Linked DNA regions of Oryzias latipes. The protein of the gene in region 1 purifies or fractionates together with the protein of each later gene. This does not show direct contact. Links are inferred from orthologs where the notes say so. Each region holds a gene or a part of one and is shown in the gene's direction. Other genes may lie near its edges. The genes, in order: CCAAT/enhancer-binding protein beta, atf2, sp1, stat3 and atf3.

Region 1 (3,347 bases):
TGCACCCCTACTCAGAAATGTGCAGCATCAAAGTCACGTGTTTTTGTGTAACATGTCACAGGAAAAATTTGAATGCTGATCCAGAATGACATCTCAGATGAAAACGTTGTCTGTATGTGACGCTATAGGAAGAGAAGGGAGCACTCCCATGGAGGCACTACAGATGTCATCTGTCATTCTGTTTGATGGAGCTGCCTGACAGGGAGCTGAAAGTAAAATGCAAACATCGAAGAAAAGTTGGAAGCAAAGGGAAAACTTCAAACTGTTTCAAAGCAGTTTTAATGGAGCAAGAATTAAACTTAAGCCAAAAAAAAAGGTTTTTCACTCAAACAACAAAAAAATGTATACATTATCAATTTAATCCCTTTGATTTATGTGCGATTATATTCAAACATCAGCCAGGCCTGATGTTAAAAGCCTTTAGATACCATTTGGAGTTTTTTTTTCTCTCCAGTACAGTCTTGTCATGATATTCTGCACCGACCGCTTCCTAACATGCAAGTCATGGTGACTTCAAATGGAAAGTGACTACCTCTGTTTTCTTCAGCAAATCACACAAGAAATGTCACACACGTGTCTTAAAATATGCAAAAGATGCTCGAAGCACCAAATTGACAAGTGCTTGACAAGTAATTTTCTAAATACTCTTAGCCACACGGTGGCAGTAAATCCCAATTTGCAAACCAGTTTCTCACCAATAAATAAATTGTAGGTATTTCTTCTCAATCTACGTGCACGTTTAAAGCAAACGTGTAATTCTTATCTGATCTTATTCAGAGTCAGTTTATTTTTGGGGCCTCATGATTGTCCAGGAGAGGCTTCTATTTTGTTCTTGCTGTGAGTCATTGGGTCATGCTTGAAGTCATGTTGTGGGATAACACTGATCCCACGAGACAGTCACATCTGTCTTTGACGACAGTGAAATGTTTCTGACACAAACCAGCACAGTGATGGATGGGGATGTGTGCATCACTTCCACAACTGTTCATTTTTGTTTTGGAAATAATGTGTTCAGAGATGTTTTGATTACAACTGAATGTGATTTTCTGCTGCAGGAGTTAAGGAAATGTGTCCAGAAAGGAGCAAAGTAATTATTTATAATAACTTGTATTGATGCTTACTGACAAACAATGAAAGACTTCACTTTAAATAGACAACAAGTCAAGTTCAGGTTTTCGTTTGTCCCGACATAAACAGATGAATGCGGGAAACGTTCTCCAAAGTGGAACAGGTTGTTCGCTGACAGGCTCCGCTCGTCACACCTGCCCTGTTAGGCCCCGCCCCCCGCGCTGTGGAATAAAACCCTCTCGAGACAGGAAGGTCTGTCAATTCCTCCCAATCCGCCACAGAAAAAAAAAGTTGCTTCTTGTTGTTGCCACATGAAGTGACGCGGGTGCTTTCAGCTCGCTGCATTCCGACACGTTTTCTCCAGTTACTCAGCTGAACTTGAAGAACTCGGGGCGCCTCACCTCAGCCCTGCCCGCTCCTGCAGTCCGGCGGGAGTGCAGATCCATGGAAGTGGCCGGCTTGTACGAGGAGGGAAGCTTTGCTATCCACGGCAGAGACGGTATCATCAGTCCCATCGTCGGCGGCTCGTACTGGCGGCTCGGTGACTCGATGACGGAGCTGGGCATTGAGGAGCGGGAGAGAGCGATAGACCTGAGCGTTTACCTGGACCCAGCCTTCCACTGCGCGCAGCTGGCGGCGCAGACGCAGCCGCAGGGGGACGCGTACTCTGACTTTCTGGCGGAGAGCAAGATCAAGAGAGTCTCAGCTCTCCAGAGCTACAGGAACTACTCTTTGCTGGGCGAGCTGGAGTCGAGCCAGTGCGACCCCCGGCAGCCCTACTCGCTGGGCTACTCGGAGCTGCAGGAGACGCGCGCGGACAGCGTCCTGAGCCCCGAACTGAGCCGCTACAGAACCGCCGCCGCAGCCGCCGACAGAGACGACAACCTGGAAGACGCCAAGATGGAGAACGGCTCGTCCGGGTTCGACATGAGGTCCTATCTTCATTACCAGTCCACCAGCAGCAGTCTGGGGAACATCTCCACTGCGTCCTCCACCTGCTCCAGCCCGCCCGGCACACCTGCGCCCTCAGGTAAAGGCAGGTCACCGTCTCACGGCGGCAAGGGGAGCAGCGGGAAGTCTAAAAAACGATTGGACAAGGACAGTGAAGAGTACAAGCTGAGGAGGGAGAGGAACAACCTCGCCGTGAGGAAGAGCAGGGACAAAGCCAAAATGCGCAACTTGGAGACTCAACACAAAGTGCTGGAACTGGCCGCGGAGAACGACCGTTTACAAAAGCGCGTGGAGCAGCTGTCTAGGGAGCTGGCCACGCTGCGCAACCTGCTCTCAGCAACTGGACAATGTTAGGTACCCCCCTCCCACGAGAGAACCCCCCTGTGCCGCTCCCTCAAGTGGACTGGAGAGTGCACGGTGATCCAAACGGTACACAGGTGAAGGCGGCCATCCCCAGTTTACAATGGACACTGAATAAGACTGAACAAGTGGGTGCATGGATTGCGCAACCGTTCACCACTCTTTACATGTCACTGTGGCTTTTTCCTCACATGTAATGTTTGTGTATGCAGTATTTCTGTGCAGGTTTTACATACATACATTCATACCCTTGAATTTCTAGATTTTTGTGTGTGTGTGTGTGTGTGTGTGTGTCTGCAGCAATGGCTGTCAACGGGGAGAGTTGTGCTGCAGTGAAATGATGCAACTCTTTGTAATAGTATTGGCAATGAATGAAATAAGTCTAATTATTTAAGATTTAAAAAGGTGAAATGCTTTAATTGTACTTGACATTGGATTAAATAGATTTATACTTTGTTTAAAGGAATTTGCACGCTCTTTTCTGTCCTTTCCTCCGCAGGTTTAGGGTGCAGACAGGCACACAGACATGGGCGTTCACACTCAGACTCACACTTAATCCGTTACAGCATATTGCGTTGAGGAAAACGGCTGTTTTTATAATCCAGGTTTGCGTAAAATAAACTACAAATCACGAAAAGAATCCTACAGGCCTTTAAATATTTGAACCTTTGTTGCACAAAACGTTATTAATTAATCATACGTATTTCATTATAAAGTAGAAAATATAGTTCTCTGTAGTTAAAAAGCTTTAAAAAATATAGTTTGGAATCTTTTTAGTCATTGGTTTTTGTCAAATTGCACTTAAAACAAACATCTCTTGCAGATAACCTTTTACACAAAACACAACCTAACTCCTCACACTCTTTTTTTTCCTCTTTTTAAACAGGTTCATTTTCGTTTCTGTTTATTTTAAATAATTGACGCATTCTCCCAAGGGTCCTAAAATAAATCAAACCCATTTATGCTGA
Region 2 (3,988 bases), on another chromosome or scaffold:
CTGGAGCCGCTACAGTCGGAGTCGCTGGATCTGGTGCTGGAATTGGAACAGTGTTCGGTAGTCTCATTATTGGCTATGCCAGGTTTGTTGCCATTTGGTCACTGTGTACATGTTTTTTTGGGGTACAATTCAAATGTTTTCTTTACATTTATTGACTTCTTTTTGTTTGCAGGAACCCATCTTTGAAGCAGCAGCTGTTCTCATATGCCATCCTGGGTTTCGCCCTGTCTGAAGCTATGGGACTATTCTGTTTGATGGTTGCTTTTCTGATCCTGTTTGCAATGTAAAGCACTGCCCTCCCAACACTTTCATTACAGATGTGACTACATATTTTATTGTGGCTTCTAAAATTGTTCAGTGTTGGTGTCATGGAAATGTAAATTTTTCAAGTCTTTCCGACACAGTCAAAATTAAACAAAACATGTACAAACATAACAATGTGCGTGAATTTAATACATGCATTTGAGTATTTATCAGTGGCAGCAACGTCTATGTCTGGAATATCATGGTAACTGAAAGCAGTTTGCTCTCACAAATGTCAGAACATCTTCTCCCCTTGTGAATCAACTTGCTTTCTGAGAGTTATATGGGGTCCACCGTCATAAGCACTTAACTCAGTTGCAGTTAAGTAGAACTGTAAGAGGCAACAAGTGATTACTTGCTTTTGTAAATCACGTTGAATAAATCTAGATTGAATTATAATTTGGGTTTTTGAATTTATTTCCCGACCCCAACAGGGTTTCGAGGTTTGTCAAATGAATGAGTTGCCACTAAAACGGTCCATCAGAACAAAATTCTCAGTTAAAAAGTAATTGTCATTTGGAAGTCAGTAAATTAGTAATATTTGGCAACAAAGTTGACCAAATGTTTTTTTTTTTTTGTAATATAAATTACCCATGTGGTTTGTTTACTGCTTCAATCAAAAATAGTTCCTTGTGATTTAATTTAATATAGAGTACACGATAATGTTTCTCTAAATTGAATTGTTTTAAAGAAATTTGGCCTTTGAGTAAAAAAGGAATGTTAACTTGAGGTGGTTCCGTAGACTGTAAATAAAGTTGTAATGCAGTAGAAATGATGGCAATTATTTATAAAATATTGAATTTATGGGTAAATGGGTAAATTTATGGGTAAATGGGTTTATTAGTGTCCATTAGTATGTTTACGGCGTTTGGGTTAGTGTGACGTTTACGGAAGAAGAAATTGTTTTCTCGCGATACTTTGGGGTTTGGGAAAACAACGTTTGTGGCTAAAGGGGTAAGTAACAACTCAAATTGAAAGCGAGTTTTATTACAAATGCAAAAAAGGGCACCCTTTATCTGAAATCGGTGTTATTTTCTTCCAAGTGAAATTAATCCCCCTCAAATTAAATACCAAAAGGTTATCTGTTTAGTGATTTGTTGGTTCTAACATGGCGACGGCTGTGCGTTATCTCAGCTCAGGCTGGAGCGGAGGATCGGATCATAATGTAGCTTTTGTTGTGTGATGACTTTAGTCGGAATTAAACGTGAAACTTTTTTTTCCAACAAAAAACATGCATAATTTCTTTGTTCGTGTTGAAAAATACACAATCCGAACGACCACACACCGAACGACCCTGCACTGCATCACCGAGCTAATAAATAAGCACAGACAGAGCAACCCCACCTCCTCACTGGCTTTGTCCAAAATCTTATTTGTCCTTTCACTAGATTTGCCCTTAACAGTCCCACTCGAGTCTCGAGTCATTTCTACTATTATCTAAAAATTAACCCTCTAACCCTCCTTTTGATCAGCCACGATTACGTGGTTGTCTTTTCTGTGGCTGTTGAATTTATTTCTGTTTTAAATGGAAATTAAGTTAATTGAGATGAAATATGTTGTTTTTATTCATTTATTGTAGGACAAAAATATAGCAAGAATTTCTTAATATGAGTGATGACAAACCCTTCCAGTGTACTGCTCCAGGATGTGGACAGGTAAGCTGACATAGTTCTTCATAGTTTTTATTTCTTTTTAGTTAGTGATTCAGTTATTTTTATTTTTTGAAAAATAGAAGGAAAAAAACCAATTCCAATGTGTTGTAAATTTATATGGTGGAGTTGTTGAGCTTACATCTTTACATTCTAGATTATTTAAAAACGTTGAAGGTATTATAATATTACATGTTTTGAGATACGGTAGTTGTATTTCTCCAGAGACTAACTTTAATATATATATATATATATATATATATATATATATATATGCATCAAATATGGTAACCAAATATTTGGGTACTCAATGTGTACATTTTACATACATTTGCTATCTTTGCTGATAATATCGAATAATTCAACTAAAAAACGTAGTTTGTGCATTCTTATCAGACATTTTAAAAGCTGAAGTTACTGTTTGAAGGATTTGTGATTATTTGTGGTACAGATAAATCCACTTAAAAACAGAATCACTGGAGTTAATAAAAGCCTGAGTCTGCATCCAATTTGAGGATTCACAAAAGGGTCAAATAATAAAAAGCATCTCTTTTTTGAAGTCACATCAACTGTTTAATTTCTAGTGCCAAAGTAAAGTTGGCTAAAGGGTAAAAATATGTAATTATTGTGGTAAATGTACGCGCACAGTCACAATAAACATAAAAACACACATTAAGCCTATGTTTATGTTTATTTAGGGTTTGATTTCTTTGGATTTTAGCAATGCACCGTTTACTTTTTGAAATTGTTAGTATTTTAACATATTTAACATTGTGAGTCATTGTTGTCTCTCAAAGGATATGCAGAATAAAGTTGTTTTTTTATTCATTTATTTCCTTTTTACCTTGCTCAGAGATTTACAAATGAAGACCACTTGGCTGTCCACAGACACAAACACGAGATGACACTAAAGTTTGGCCCAGCGAGGACCGACAATATCATAATTGCTGGTGAGTCCTTCTTAAGTTTTATGTCTATAGATGTTTGTGTGTTTTTGCCTCCTTAAGTGTGATTTTTTTCTTCTTTTATCTTTTCTTTTCTCTATTACAGATCAAACGCCGACACCCACTCGCTTTTTGAAAAACTGCGAGGAAGTCGGGCTTTTCAACGAACTTGCCAGTCCTTTTGACCATGACTTCAAAAAAGCAGCTGAAGATGACTTGAAGAAGGTTGAGTTTGTTCTGTAACTTCTGTCAAATCTTCTCTTAGGATGATCTCTGAAGTCCAGAGTTTATATCTGCTTTTTTTCTTTTTCTTTTAACCTTCCCAAAGCTACCTCTGGATTTGTCACCTCTTGCTACACCAGTCATACGCAACAAAACTGAGGAACCCGCAGCTGTAGATGCACATCGGAACAGCCCCCTTCCTCATCCTGAGTCCACCACAAACGATGACAAGGTAGATTTTTTTCTGTTTAGTTAGCTCTCTAATGGGTTTTAGGAGTGCTATTAAACATGAATAATTAAGAATCCTCCTGTTTCTGTAATCATTCATTTACTATAGAAATTGTACTTCTTCTTTCACCTGCTTGAATTCTTCGATTTATTTGTTTTTTATTTTCAAACCCCACTCTCTTTTTTTTTTTTATTCAAACACTGCTCTTAATTTTGATTTGGAAATCCTAAAACCAACCAAAAAAATATTTGCAAAAAGTTCTTGTAACTAACTAAGCTGGTGTTCACTAAACATTTCTGCAGCTAAGGTCTTGTATGATGTTTTCAGGACTTAACTTTGCAGCCTGCCTCACTGCCAACATCCACTATAGTCCATCCTGCATCCCTCCAAGTTCCCAATGTACTTCTAGCAACCACGGACGCTAATGTTGTAATACAGCCAGCTCTCCCATCGCCAACATCTAGCTCTGTTATTACCCAGGTTCCATCCACTAATAGACCCATAGTGTAAGTAACGGAATGCGTCCATTTTTAAAACAAATCTTAGTTTTTAGTTTTTTTTAATCATTTTTGTGTAGTTTTGTGCATTTTGTGAGGCATGTGCTTGTATTTTATGTTTATTTTTTTAATCAATCTGCACTC
Region 3 (3,956 bases), on another chromosome or scaffold:
TTTAAAATAGCCCTTTTCGCCCCTGAATTAAACATGACAAAGTTTACTTTTATTAAAATTTATCAACAGGTCTGTCCTACGTTATAACTGCTATATCAGTTCTTGCTGTTTCTTTGCCAATACTAAAAATGTGTTTACTACAGCAGGGGCTTTTGGTTGTAGTGGTGACACTGAGGGGTGGGTCCAAGCCTAAAGTTAAGAATGGATGGACTCCACCTTCTGGCCTGTTTACATGGACACATGTGCTGCTTCACTGACAGCCCTCTTTCGTACTAAGCGATGAAAGCCCTCCCCTACGAGAGGCGCTTTCCACTCCCAGCCATCTGTAGTCGGTGTCTGGAGGACGGTGGAGGTTTTTTTTCTCCACCCTGGCTGCCTTCTCCCGCCTCCTCCCTAGTGTTTACCAACCCATCCGCCACAAAAAGGAGTGGCCAGCGGCCACGGAGGCAAGACTCAAATCGACAGTCCTCCTTTTTCCCCACCTCCAGGTTTTAATTCAAGACACAAATCTAAGCACGATTTCTAAGTTTAAACATAAGACCTTCTTCGGAATTATACAAAGAAATCCGTGCGTATATATGTCAACATTTTAGAAACGCGGAAAACATAACCAATGTCAATTAGACTAAGGAGCGCAGCCTAACGTGGATGAACCCGCCCTATATCACCCACCTTTTCTCAAATTCCATTGGTTGGCTGACGGTAAGAGGCAGAGACATACGGTTTGATTGGTAGATTGAAGTAATCTTTCACAAGGCGCTTTTCTAGGGGGTGCGCTTGTTTTCTACGTTAATGGAATGACAGTAACACTAGATAATCAATTTATACATTTTTTAAATAAAATTTTGATTTAAAATAGTCTCACTTAGTAACTTTTCTAAACATTTTTTTTCTTGCAGGAAAAATAAACCTAGCTACAGTAAATTGTCTTATATTTTACATGTTAATGGATGCAACTATAAATTACCTTTACTCGTTTAACTTTTAAGAAAATCTCGGTTTAAGGGGCTCTATTTTCAATGTGTATTTAGTTTTTAAAACAAATATATTAATATAGTTAAAACGCACCTACTTTTAAAAATGTGTTCTCTTTCTATGACTACATAGAACAAAGATGGCGGGCTACAAAGGTACCTAAATTAAACGCACCTCTGTGCTTTCCTTCAAAGGGAAGGGGCTATCAAGTTTGTGTGAAGTTGTGAAAAGTTGTTAAGCAGAAAAAGAGCACAGAAACTCCTCCCGTCTTCAAATATGAGCAGTAAGTGAAGTTTTAAAACTCAGTGGTATGTTATGTATCTTTAGCTTGACAGAGTTTTTATTGTAGTAAGAACATTTTTTAAAACAAATAAGCAGCGGTAAACGCACAGTATTATATATCGAGTTGCCATAAACATGCAGTCAAAAAGTGGCCAGCAAACCTAACGACGTTAACGCTACTTGTTGGAACTTGGCTAACAACATTTAGCGAAACGGCAAAAAGTTGTTCGTAAGTGACACTAAAATCTGTGTACTTTCAGGACCAATCTGTATTCTTAGCCCATGTAGTCCGTTACATTTTAGAGATTAACTGAAGTCTCAAAGAGATTCAAGAGCGATTTCTTAGAACATCACTTGCCATTAGTTGATGTTAGCTTAGCTATTGAGCTAGCTTGCCCCGTGAGTACTTTGCCATTTATACATTTGCTTTTCTTGGAAAAGCCGCTACAAAAAGACAAAACAGACTTAGAGTTTTATATATATAAGACGTTTTATTTTTGTCCCGTCTGAGGTTTAAACTTGTGTTAAAGAGTCGCATTGTCTGAAACTCGTGTTTTGCTGTTTGTTGAAGTTGGGAATCTTGCAACTCTTCTTCCGCAGATCAGCAACAAGGTGAAATGGCCGCAGTGGAGAGTGGCGGAGGATTCTCTCAGAAGCGGAACACTAACTCACAAGTAGGTTTATCCTTCACTCGGACTGTTGATTTTAGTCAGTCTTGGCCTGGTTTGTTTTCGCTACTTGTTGAATTAGCTCGAAGGCGTTATTCGGGACCGGTTGTTTATTTCTCCCCAGAGCACATGTCACCGGGGTGGGGACTGGGCAGGTAAAAATCTCCCAGACTGGGTGTTCCCGTCAACCCCCGGCACTACAAGTGCGTTTTGTTCGGCCCATTTGGCATGCCTTTGAGGGGGTGGCCAGTGTGGTGCGCTGGTTTATAGGGCAACATAAAGTGTGGGAGGGAGAGGGGTGGGCTTGGGAGGAGGGGGAAGCCGAGCCCGCCACTACTCCTCTCAACTGTGGTCCCTCCCATACCCCACCTCAACCCCCACCTCCATCTGAAGCCCACTCCCTAAATCCTGCCATGAACACAGAGCAAATCCACCTATTTAATTCAATAATCCATATTTACATTGGTGTTTGTTTAGCATAAAATATGTTTACATCGTTTTCTTTTGTTAGACCTAAAGTCCTGTCAAGATTATTTTTTTTAACATATTATACAATCATTTGAAATCCCTACTGAAATATTTTTGACCTTTTTTTTTTGGTTTGCCATTGTGAATTTTTCAAGATTACACAAGAGCTGTAAATATCACACTTTTTTAATAGCAATCATTTAAATCAGTGGCCCCTGACCCCAGGACGCAGACCGGTACCAGTCCGTGGGATAGTTGGTACCGGCACATAGAGAAAGAAACTATGACCTACATTTTTGTTTTTGTTTTATTTATAATCTGATTTTGAAAGAAACTGTATTTATTCCGTGTAAAATTGTCAACACTTCCATAGCTCCATGCTGTTTTGCACATCTGACATGTTTAAATCTGTACATATCACTCTGCACATAATTGCATACATTTTTATTTTTGCACATTTCTTATTTTGCATATTTGCACACATTCTTGGTACACTCTGTGCATATTGACATTTTTACATTATACTTTGTTAGATTTGTTTTTTGCACTGTAATCGTGACTGCTGTAATTTCATTGTCCAAATGGACAATGACAATAAAGGCATATCTTATCCTATCTTTAAAAACAGAATTCTCCTCAACTGATCCGACTCGTTTTTGACGCATGTCAAGTCACTCTGTTACTTGTCGACAAACCATCTATTACTTTCTTAAACCAGTAGCATAGACCGCTAAGTTGAAACCCCCAAGACAGCAAAGTTAACAACAACAAAAAATGTATTTAAAAGATGTTTTTTTGTCTTTTTTTGGCAGAAAAAAAGACCCAGTGACTTCAGAGAAAAAGAAAGTTGTATTTAACAGACAAAAACCAGTAGTCTGTACTCAAAATACGGATTTATCTACAGTAGTTCCCAAACACCATGATAATAATCTTTTTTTTCATCTTTTAATACGTGTTTAAGTAATGTTATTTTATTTTTTAATCTGTTGCACTTTAAAAGTTGGACAAGACTGAAGTTGGTGCCAATTTTTTAGCTTCCACTTTAACATTTATGAGTTTAGGGGAAATTTGTCACATTTGAATGATTCTAGTTTACAAATAAAATTTCAATCCTCTGCAGATATTTTACAGAGAATGAAAATAAACTTTACAATCAAAAGTTAAGGGAAACTGAAAACTTAAAAAAATGTGGACTTTTACCTCAGCCTTGTCTGACATTAAACAGTCAGTGGCCTGAAAAGGGTTAAGGACTACCTACTAAAATATTTTATTTCACTGTACAGTGTACAGTTATTCTGTCTAAATAGGTTTATTTTACTGCCATTACTGTTTCTTTAGTTTATTTTATCAGCAAACATATGATAAATATTTAAAATATGGCGTTTTGTCTGTACTGATGCCATTTTCTTTATTTTTTAGGACTCTCAGCAGCCATCTCCCCTTGCTCTGCTGGCAGCCACGTGCAGTAGAATTGAACCACCGGGGGAAAACGATTCATCTGCAGACCAGCATCAAACTCAGCAGCAGCAGCTGAAGATAAACCAAATTTTCACCTCCAATGCC
Region 4 (3,514 bases), on another chromosome or scaffold:
AAGTACATCCTTGCGCTGTGGAACGAAGGGTGAGAGGTTGCAGAGGTTCCCACGCTATGACTGCTACTGCCAGTTTACTTCCTGTTGTGATCCGGAAACTGTGCAACGGTCGACGGCCTTAAAATAAGTTTGCTATTTCAGAGCTGAGCATGTCGTAATTAGAATGTTGTCTTCTGGTTGCTTGTTATCAGATACATCATGGGCTTTATCAGTAAGGAGAGGGAGAGAGCCATTCTGAGCCCCAAACCTCCCGGCACCTTTCTGCTGCGCTTCAGCGAGAGCAGCAAAGAGGGTGGCATTACATTTACATGGGTAGAGAAAGACATAAGTGGTGAGTAATTGGAGACATTTTTACGTTTTTTTATATATGATTAGGGATGGGCGCTGTTTGAATTTTATCTGATGCCGGGCATTTGAAAAACTGTTCTGGTGCTCGAGCCAATGCTTCAAAAATGAAATGCGTGCAAATATGTTTCCAAAAACCACATGGTGAAGGAGACCGCTTGAACCTGCCTAAGGTGCTTTAGTGTTTCCTTGTTTATTGTGGGAATTAGATTCTGCAAGTAAGCCGTGATAAATAAAATTGGTGCAGTACATTATAGATCTTTTAAGGCTGTAAAACCCTCTCTGCACACTGTCTACCCTTTTCTCAGACAAACAGGAACATTTTCACACTATTCTCTATTGTTTTAATCTCTCAAAGTTAAAACAAAATCCAGTTTTATAAAATTGTGAGCAAAGATTTCTGTACAGGAGACACAACACGGAGGAGATTGATTGACGTGATCTGCAGCCAATCAGGATGTAGGACAAAATGTTAAACAAACCCTCAAAACGGCACTAAAAAAGACGTGAAACCGCAAAACCACGAAAGGTTAACGGCAATATCGTTTTACTTGACAGTATGAACCGCATCTCTGTTTTCACACACACTGAGGTAGAGGTAGAGCGTATTACACGTCACCCTTCACCATCAGAATTCCAATCTTTTACTGTGAGATGCAGCTAAAGTTTTACTCACTTTGCATTTTGACTGAAGCTGCGCCCTCCCTCACGGCCTCACCCAGTCTGATATGAGCCCGCCCACAATCGCTGGAAAGGTAAAAAGATTGGTTAGAATTGTAAAGCAAAATTGTATCGAGTAGGACTGATTGACGTGTCAGAAACACCAAAACCACATTTTTATACGTAACCAGTACTATCATATACTGTATGTCGGTACCAACTTGACACAGAGTTTAACAGAACAGTTTTTTGTGTTGATAGGAAAGACCCAAATCCAGTCTGTGGAACCGTACACCAAGCAGCAACTCAACAGCATGTCCTTCGCCGACATCATCATGGGTTACAAGATTATGGATGCCACCAATATCCTGGTGTCGCCTCTTGTTTACCTCTACCCTGACATCCCCAAAGAGGAAGCTTTCGGGAAGTACTGCAGACCGGAAGCAGCTCATGAACCCGAGGCAGGAGGAGATTCAGCAAGCAGTGAGTGTTTTTTGGATTGTTTTTAGCTACGTTGTGGAAGTTCTTCGAATTGCCGTCACCTTTCAACCATTTACTTAATTAATTTTCTTCCAACGGATTCTCCGCTTCAGAATCCGTAGGAATTCCGATGGTTTGAAGAGTGTGTGTTATTCTGTGTCGCTGGTGACAGCTCCAGTATTAACTGTCTGAGTCTAAATTGTTTTTGCTCATTTTCTTTTCTCCTTTAACAGTCACCCAGCCATACTTGAAGACAAAGTTCATCTGCGTGACCCCGTAAGTTTCCATCAATCCACTCCGACTCGCTGTCAAAATAAAAGCATGCCGCTCGGTTAACTCCATCTGTCTTAGTCTTTCTGCTGCTGAAGTGTCCTGGGAGGACATTTTCTGTTTTTAGAGCTGCGTTCGTGAACCCAAAGAGTTTCCTTAATAGCATCAACTTTTTCACCGTCTGGGTAATTAAAAATATCGAATCTCGATGGTCAGTGTTCACATAGAGGGCTGCAAGATGATTACGCCTTTTATTCAGAAGTAAAATGAAAAAAGAAATTAAATGATTTTCAGTCGTATTCCTAAGCTGAGGAAAAACAACAGTCATAAAAAGTATTGAATGTTAATAAGTATTACTAGTATTCAGGCGTGTTCATGTCGGTCAGGTTTGATAGTGTGCTGGTGGGTTTCCAGGTTTGCCTAGTGAGATCCTGACCTGTCTCCGTAGGTGTCCCTCCGTGTTCATGGACTTGCCGGACAGTGAGCTGCTTGGGAACGGATTCCCAGGGTAGGCCGCTGGGGGGGAGGTGGCATGTAGAGAGCATTGTGTGCATCTTGACACTTAGTATGTCTGGTGGACGGCTTTCACCACTGTCAACGTAGCCAACGCCTCCACATTGTTTCTGTTGTGTCCAAACTCACAGCCAAAGCACCTGGCTTCTCTCCTCTCCGTTCATCCGTTTTGGCTCGGTTCAGACCGCAATCCTCCATCCATGACCACCCGCTTTTGGTTGGTTAAGGGAAAGATTTTGAAGTTGACCGTTAGACAATTCAGCATCAATTTCTGAGAGATAAAAAGTTATGCCTGTTAGTTTGACAAGAAGCTAAAACCAAAAAAAAAAAAAAAAAGAAGCTTGCAGAACAATAAAGGCCCGTTTGCTCACCATTTGTTGTGACTGACTGAAGCGAAGCCCTCATTAAGGCCCATTCAATGCGCCTTTTGTCTCTGCCTTTGGTAAATGCAAGACCGTTTAATTGCATATTAACATTTTCTCATGTTTCATTTAGAACGTGTAATTAAATAAAATGTCTACTTTTCACCACCTTACTTTACCCCATGGGCATCACATTGCAAACTAACATAGTCACTAAATACCTATCTGTTATATTAAGTCCAATGACAAATGTATTAACATGGAAAAGGAATAAAACATGATCACAACCTTTTCCTATGTGATTGCCTCCTAATCACTGTCTGGAAAAAGGTGACGGATCTCATCCCGGCGGCTTTACCTGAAGAGCCTGAACTAACACACACTGCATCAGATGCACGTGTCTTTAAACAGTGGATATTAAACTGCTTTCCTTTTTTATCTTTTCTTTTTGTTCACAGCACAAACTCTGGAAACACCAGCGACCTGTTTCCTATGATGTCACCTCGCACCCTTGATTCCCTGATGCACAATGAGCCAGAAGCTCACTCTGGACATTTGGGTAAGCCCCTCACTGACTGTGTGTGGTTGTGTATGGTTGTGTATGGTTTGTCCGTTTGACTTCAGCTCAGGTGTTGTCCTCAAACCCCACACACATTGTAAAACTGGAACTCCCTGATGACTCAGGCTTTTTTATGGCCCACATCAGTCCTGGACTGCATGACCAGATTGTTTCGCAATTCTTCCTTCTTACCACGGGTTTAAACGAAAATTTTGCCCCCGCCACGTATTGAAACCTATGGCGGAGTTTTACAAAGAACTTTTTTTTTCTTAAATTACGACTTTAAGTCTTGTAATTTCATTTATTTATTTATTTATTTATTTAT
Region 5 (4,230 bases), on another chromosome or scaffold:
GAGACCGGAGGGGGTGTTCCGACTACCAGGGAATCACACTAGTGTCACTAGTGACAGTGTCACTTTAATTAATTGTAAAGGTGATTTGTTTTTGTTTTTTTGGTTTTGTTCAGGAAGAAGTTGCCATTTTGTATGACTTACAATGTTAAGTAAAGTCCAGTGGAGTTTAGAAACAAAGGATTTGTATGTTTGTGTCAGTCTGGGGGGGCTTGAAAATATTCTAATCTTCAGAAAGGGGGGCCCTGCAGAAAAAGTTTGGGAACCACTGCACTAGACAGTGAACCTTTTTTCTTCAATGATATGTTATCTTCACTGGTGTCCATGGATTACATGAAATCTTTCCACCTTTATCCACCTTTGTCATGGTAGGGAGAACACGTCAATGGAAGGGGGGGGGGGGGGGGGAATCTAAGATAGCACAAGGGTTATTCTCTCCATTCCTGCAGAAATGCCCCAGCTCCGTCTACATATGGCTCCACCTTTGTGCATGTTTGGATGCACATTTCTGTGAGAGAAGCTCTTCTCAGTGATGAAGACTAACTAAACAGCAGACAGCTGTCGTCTCACTGATGATCACCTGCAGTCCATCCTGAGAATCTCCACAACACAGAACCTCACAGCAAACACAAACCAACTGTGTGACACAAAACGATGCCAGACGTTCAGCTCTGATCAAATGACACAGGAGTAAAGAAAACAGAATGATATGATTTGTAAACGCTGAATTTGTATAATTTGGGCAGGATATAATCTTATGGAGAATAAAATCTTTTGGGATATTTACAATTTGAACTTAATTTTTGTATAAAATGACATGTTTAATGAAATTTGAATTTTTTTCTTTAATATTTACTTTATTTCTATCTTGTTTAATTTTGAGAGTAGAGCAAAATAAAGTTATTTAGAGTTTAAGTTGATTTATTCTGGAACAACGTTTTAGATTTATGTTTTAAAAAGTTGTAAAAGTTTACATTTTTAAATTTTAGTTTACAACAGTAGTGACCCATTTACAAACGGGGGGGGGGGGTGCAGGAGGAAAACAGATCTCTAAAGAGAAAAAAAAGGAAAGTGATCAAAAAGAATGTTTTAAAAGTTAAAAGCCATTTAATTTTATGTATTTACCTGAATCTATATCTATCTATCTATCTATCTATCTATCTATCTATCTATCTATCTATCTATCTATCTATCTATCTATCTATCTATCTATCTATCTATCTATCTATCTATCTATCTATCTATCTATCTATCTATCTATCTATCTATCTATCTCAGGTGCTTTGGGGGGAGAAGGGGACCCCCGTTTTGGTCCTTGGGTGGCATCATCACTGGATCAGAGTCTATAAATAAGATGATGTCATCCCCCTCCCCACCCCCACCCCTCCTACCCTCGCAGTCTAGTAGGATTCCTAGGTACTGCGTCACTAAGCCCCGCCCCTGGAGTTCCTATAAGTGGGTGATGCAACGGGAGAGACGAGAAGCGCAACTCAGTACTGCGGAACCGAACGGAGCAGTCCACGCCGGAACCAGAGCCGGAACCAGAACTTTCAAAGGTGCGTTCCTGTCTTGTGCTGGAGGCGGGGAAGGGGGGCGCTTTTCCGCCGGTCCGGTCCGGTCCGGTCCGGCCGTGGCTCTAAACAGAAAGCAAACTGTTTGTAGGTGCTTCTCGTTGAAAGACTTAGTTTCTGTTCATGGAAGTGTTTCTATTTGAATCCTCCGCTTTAACCTTCGTTTTCTGCTTACCAGTTTACCTTCAGTCAGTAAATAACACTCAAAAACGCCTTAGGGAGGGAATCGAACCGGTGTGATGATCAGAAGTTCTTCTTCCGTTGTAGCCGCGGATGTTCCTCTGAAGGAGCAGAACCTCCTTCACCTGCTGTTACACAACAAATGTGTTGACTCTTTATCTTCATGATGTCATTATTACTCAGCAGAATCTGTCCTGGAAGTCTCTGGTTAGCAGTCAGAGATCTTTAGGGTTCATGTGGGCGTTTCTGCCTGAATGTAGTCAGTTAGTTTATGCTACTGGAAACCTGTGTGGAAAAACATTGATACTACACAAATACTAGATAAAAAAACACCAAGCCACATATAAGTGCAACATTAGCTAAAAAAAAACTAAAAAAGTTCCAGAGCAAAGTATTTCTTGTAAAAAGCAGAGGGCGTGTTCAGGAAGGGGCTAAAGAAAGTCCAAAACCAGAAAGACAAATGGTGGGAGGGGGGACGCTGAGCCTGACTGTGACTGAAAGTCTGCCGTGTCTCCAGAATGATGCTGCAGCACCTGGGACCGTCATTGGCTGACATCAGCTGCTCAGCCCTGGTCCCCTGCCTGTCCCCCCCAGGAGAACTCACTCTAGAAGACTTCACCAACTTCACCCCCATAGTGAAGGAGGAGCTCCGTCAGGTCATCCAGAACAAGCGACTGTCCTGCGGGCTCAGTGCAGACGCCAGTTCTGACAGCGCCAGCTCTGCCTCGGACCAGGCCCCGCCCACCCACGAGTCAGGGGTCAAGAGAGAGGTGAGGCAGGTACTCCCCCCACGCCAGTCTGTTGCTGAGTGGATTCTTTATTCAGAACTCTGTGTGGGTTTCAGCTGACGCTAGAGGAGCACGACAGGAAGAAGAGGAGGCGAGAGAGGAATAAGATTGCTGCTGCAAAATGCCGCAGCAAGAAGAAGGAGAAGACTGAAGGTCTGCAGAAGGTAAACTCTGTTTTCACCAGGCTGTAACCAGGAGCTCTTTGGAGGACATGCATGAGACCAAGTGTCTTACTACCATCACAGTTTACTCATTTAGCAGATATGTAGCTTCTGTGTGCTTGAAACGGAAGCCTGAAGGTTGCCTCTGTGAACCTTCATCATTTCTGATAATGCAGATTATTCTGCTTATACTATGGTCACTTCCCAAAGAAATATTTAGTACTTTATTCTTGTTTTTTTTTTTAGGTTTTCACAAAAATCAGACTAAGTTATATGCAGTACGTTGTCATGGTAATGGCCATAGAGACTGCAGCGGCAAAAGAAAGTGATTCATATGCTGATGGGTTGAATAAAGCATCAGTTCAGTGTGAAAGTTCACGTCTTACTGCTTCTTTTTGTCCAGATGAGGAAGTTAAAGTTTGTTTCAAAGAAACTAACTGTAAAGTCTAAATAGTTCAGTTCCTCCTCTTGTCGTATTTCTTCCTTCTAGATCCACTTCTCTCTCGTTCTCTTTTGCTGCAGTCTCTAAAAAGATCAAATTAACCAAACAGGTGAAAGGAAACTATAAAATCACTCATGTTTTCTACTGTCTTACTGTTGTAATAATCTGGAATAAGGCATGACAAACTATGTTTGTTTATGTTTTAATGGTGATAATCGGAATACCGACTTGTGTTTAGGCCACTGCAGTGATAAGGAACATTTGGGGGGTGTGACTGGAACTTCTTTTTTAGGTGTGGGATATCACTTTGAAATATACACACTGCAACCAATCAGAATTAAGTATTCACCTGGACAATGGTATAGAGACTTAACAGATTCTCTGAGGTGGAATTAGTCTTTCTAGAAAAAAGATCTGAATTTGAGGCATTTTACAAATGGAAATACAATTTCATGAGGAAAAGAAGATAAAAGTTTGGTAAGAATTAAAGTTGTCAAAAAACATTTATCCTCAAATGAAAAGCGTGTCCCGGATCTTGGTTTCTCTTCAGCAGCTTCTTTTGGTTTCAGACCTGGAACTTTTTTAACCAAAGCAGCTTTCTGATCCCTCCACCTGATGTTCCAAAAGACTGAGCCCCGTTTGTTCTGCGTCTGCTCCTGTTAGGAGTCAGAGAAGCTGGAAAGCATCAACGCTGACCTGAAGGCTCAGATCGAGGAGCTCAAGCAGCAGAAGCAGCAGCTGGTCTACATGCTGAACCTGCACCGACCCACCTGCATCGTCCGGGCCCAGGACGGACAAACCCCAGAGGACGAGAGGAACCTCTTCCTCCAGCACATCAAGGAGAGCAACTTCCAGCTTCACAGCCTCACCTCCACCACAGAGGGCTTGCTGGGGGGGGGCCCGCTAAGCCTTGACCACATTTGCTGTCCCGCTGATCTATGACTGAGCAGAGGCTGCCCCCTACCAACATCAGAGACTAGCTGAGTGTTAGCCTGACCTGAACAGGCCTGACCCAGAAAGGACTGCGGGCCACACTTGGCTCACACAAAGCTGCAAAAACCTGACTATGCACTGAGGGTTGTGAGGGAGGG

The links.
Region 2: the proteins of CCAAT/enhancer-binding protein beta (region 1) and atf2 purify together in Homo sapiens (affinity purification with western blotting; 3 studies listed by BioGRID and IntAct, with this or other methods). This does not show direct contact. The link is inferred for Oryzias latipes from reciprocal best matches to the Homo sapiens genes CEBPB and ATF2.
Region 3: the proteins of CCAAT/enhancer-binding protein beta (region 1) and sp1 purify together in Homo sapiens (affinity purification with western blotting; 4 studies listed by BioGRID, with this or other methods). This does not show direct contact. The link is inferred for Oryzias latipes from reciprocal best matches to the Homo sapiens genes CEBPB and SP1.
Region 4: the proteins of CCAAT/enhancer-binding protein beta (region 1) and stat3 purify together in Homo sapiens (affinity purification with western blotting; 3 studies listed by BioGRID, with this or other methods). This does not show direct contact. The link is inferred for Oryzias latipes from reciprocal best matches to the Homo sapiens genes CEBPB and STAT3.
Region 5: the proteins of CCAAT/enhancer-binding protein beta (region 1) and atf3 purify together in Homo sapiens (affinity purification with western blotting; 3 studies listed by BioGRID and IntAct, with this or other methods). This does not show direct contact. The link is inferred for Oryzias latipes from reciprocal best matches to the Homo sapiens genes CEBPB and ATF3.

The regions. Positions count from the first base shown.
Region 1 is NC_019865.2:21,871,282-21,874,628, reverse strand, and holds CCAAT/enhancer-binding protein beta, read left to right. Parts: upstream 1-1,316; 5' UTR 1,317-1,512; coding exon 1,513-2,373; 3' UTR 2,374-2,845; downstream 2,846-3,347. UniProt on the Homo sapiens protein: Important transcription factor regulating the expression of genes involved in immune and inflammatory responses. Also plays a significant role in adipogenesis, as well as in the gluconeogenic pathway, liver regeneration, and hematopoiesis.
Region 2 is NC_019879.2:22,381,757-22,385,744, reverse strand, and holds the start of atf2 (cyclic AMP-dependent transcription factor ATF-2), read left to right. Parts: upstream 1-1,181; 5' UTR 1,182-1,257; intron 1,258-1,882; 5' UTR 1,883-1,910; coding exon 1,911-1,958; intron 1,959-2,805; coding exon 2,806-2,902; intron 2,903-3,002; coding exon 3,003-3,121; intron 3,122-3,224; coding exon 3,225-3,350; intron 3,351-3,674; coding exon 3,675-3,853; intron 3,854-3,988. Other genes in the region: atp5mc3 (ATP synthase F(0) complex subunit C3, mitochondrial), read left to right, coding at 1-82, 173-287. UniProt on the Homo sapiens protein: Transcriptional activator which regulates the transcription of various genes, including those involved in anti-apoptosis, cell growth, and DNA damage response.
Region 3 is NC_019863.2:10,447,465-10,451,420, reverse strand, and holds the start of sp1 (transcription factor Sp1), read left to right. Parts: upstream 1-1,154; 5' UTR 1,155-1,251; coding exon 1,252-1,258; intron 1,259-1,857; coding exon 1,858-1,931; intron 1,932-3,812; coding exon 3,813-3,956. UniProt on the Homo sapiens protein: Transcription factor that can activate or repress transcription in response to physiological and pathological stimuli.
Region 4 is NC_019866.2:6,338,061-6,341,574, reverse strand, and holds part of stat3 (signal transducer and activator of transcription 3), read left to right. Parts: coding exon 1-29; intron 30-191; coding exon 192-331; intron 332-1,266; coding exon 1,267-1,488; intron 1,489-1,718; coding exon 1,719-1,761; intron 1,762-2,203; coding exon of another isoform or gene 2,204-2,263; intron 2,264-3,088; coding exon 3,089-3,189; intron 3,190-3,514. UniProt on the Homo sapiens protein: Signal transducer and transcription activator that mediates cellular responses to interleukins, KITLG/SCF, LEP and other growth factors. Once activated, recruits coactivators, such as NCOA1 or MED1, to the promoter region of the target gene.
Region 5 is NC_019882.2:23,409,155-23,413,384, reverse strand, and holds the start of atf3 (cyclic AMP-dependent transcription factor ATF-3), read left to right. Parts: upstream 1-1,428; 5' UTR 1,429-1,459; coding exon 1,460-1,553; intron 1,554-2,265; exon of another isoform or gene 2,266-2,266; coding exon of another isoform or gene 2,267-2,342; coding exon 2,343-2,518; intron 2,519-2,592; coding exon 2,593-2,700; intron 2,701-3,802; coding exon 3,803-4,081; 3' UTR 4,082-4,230.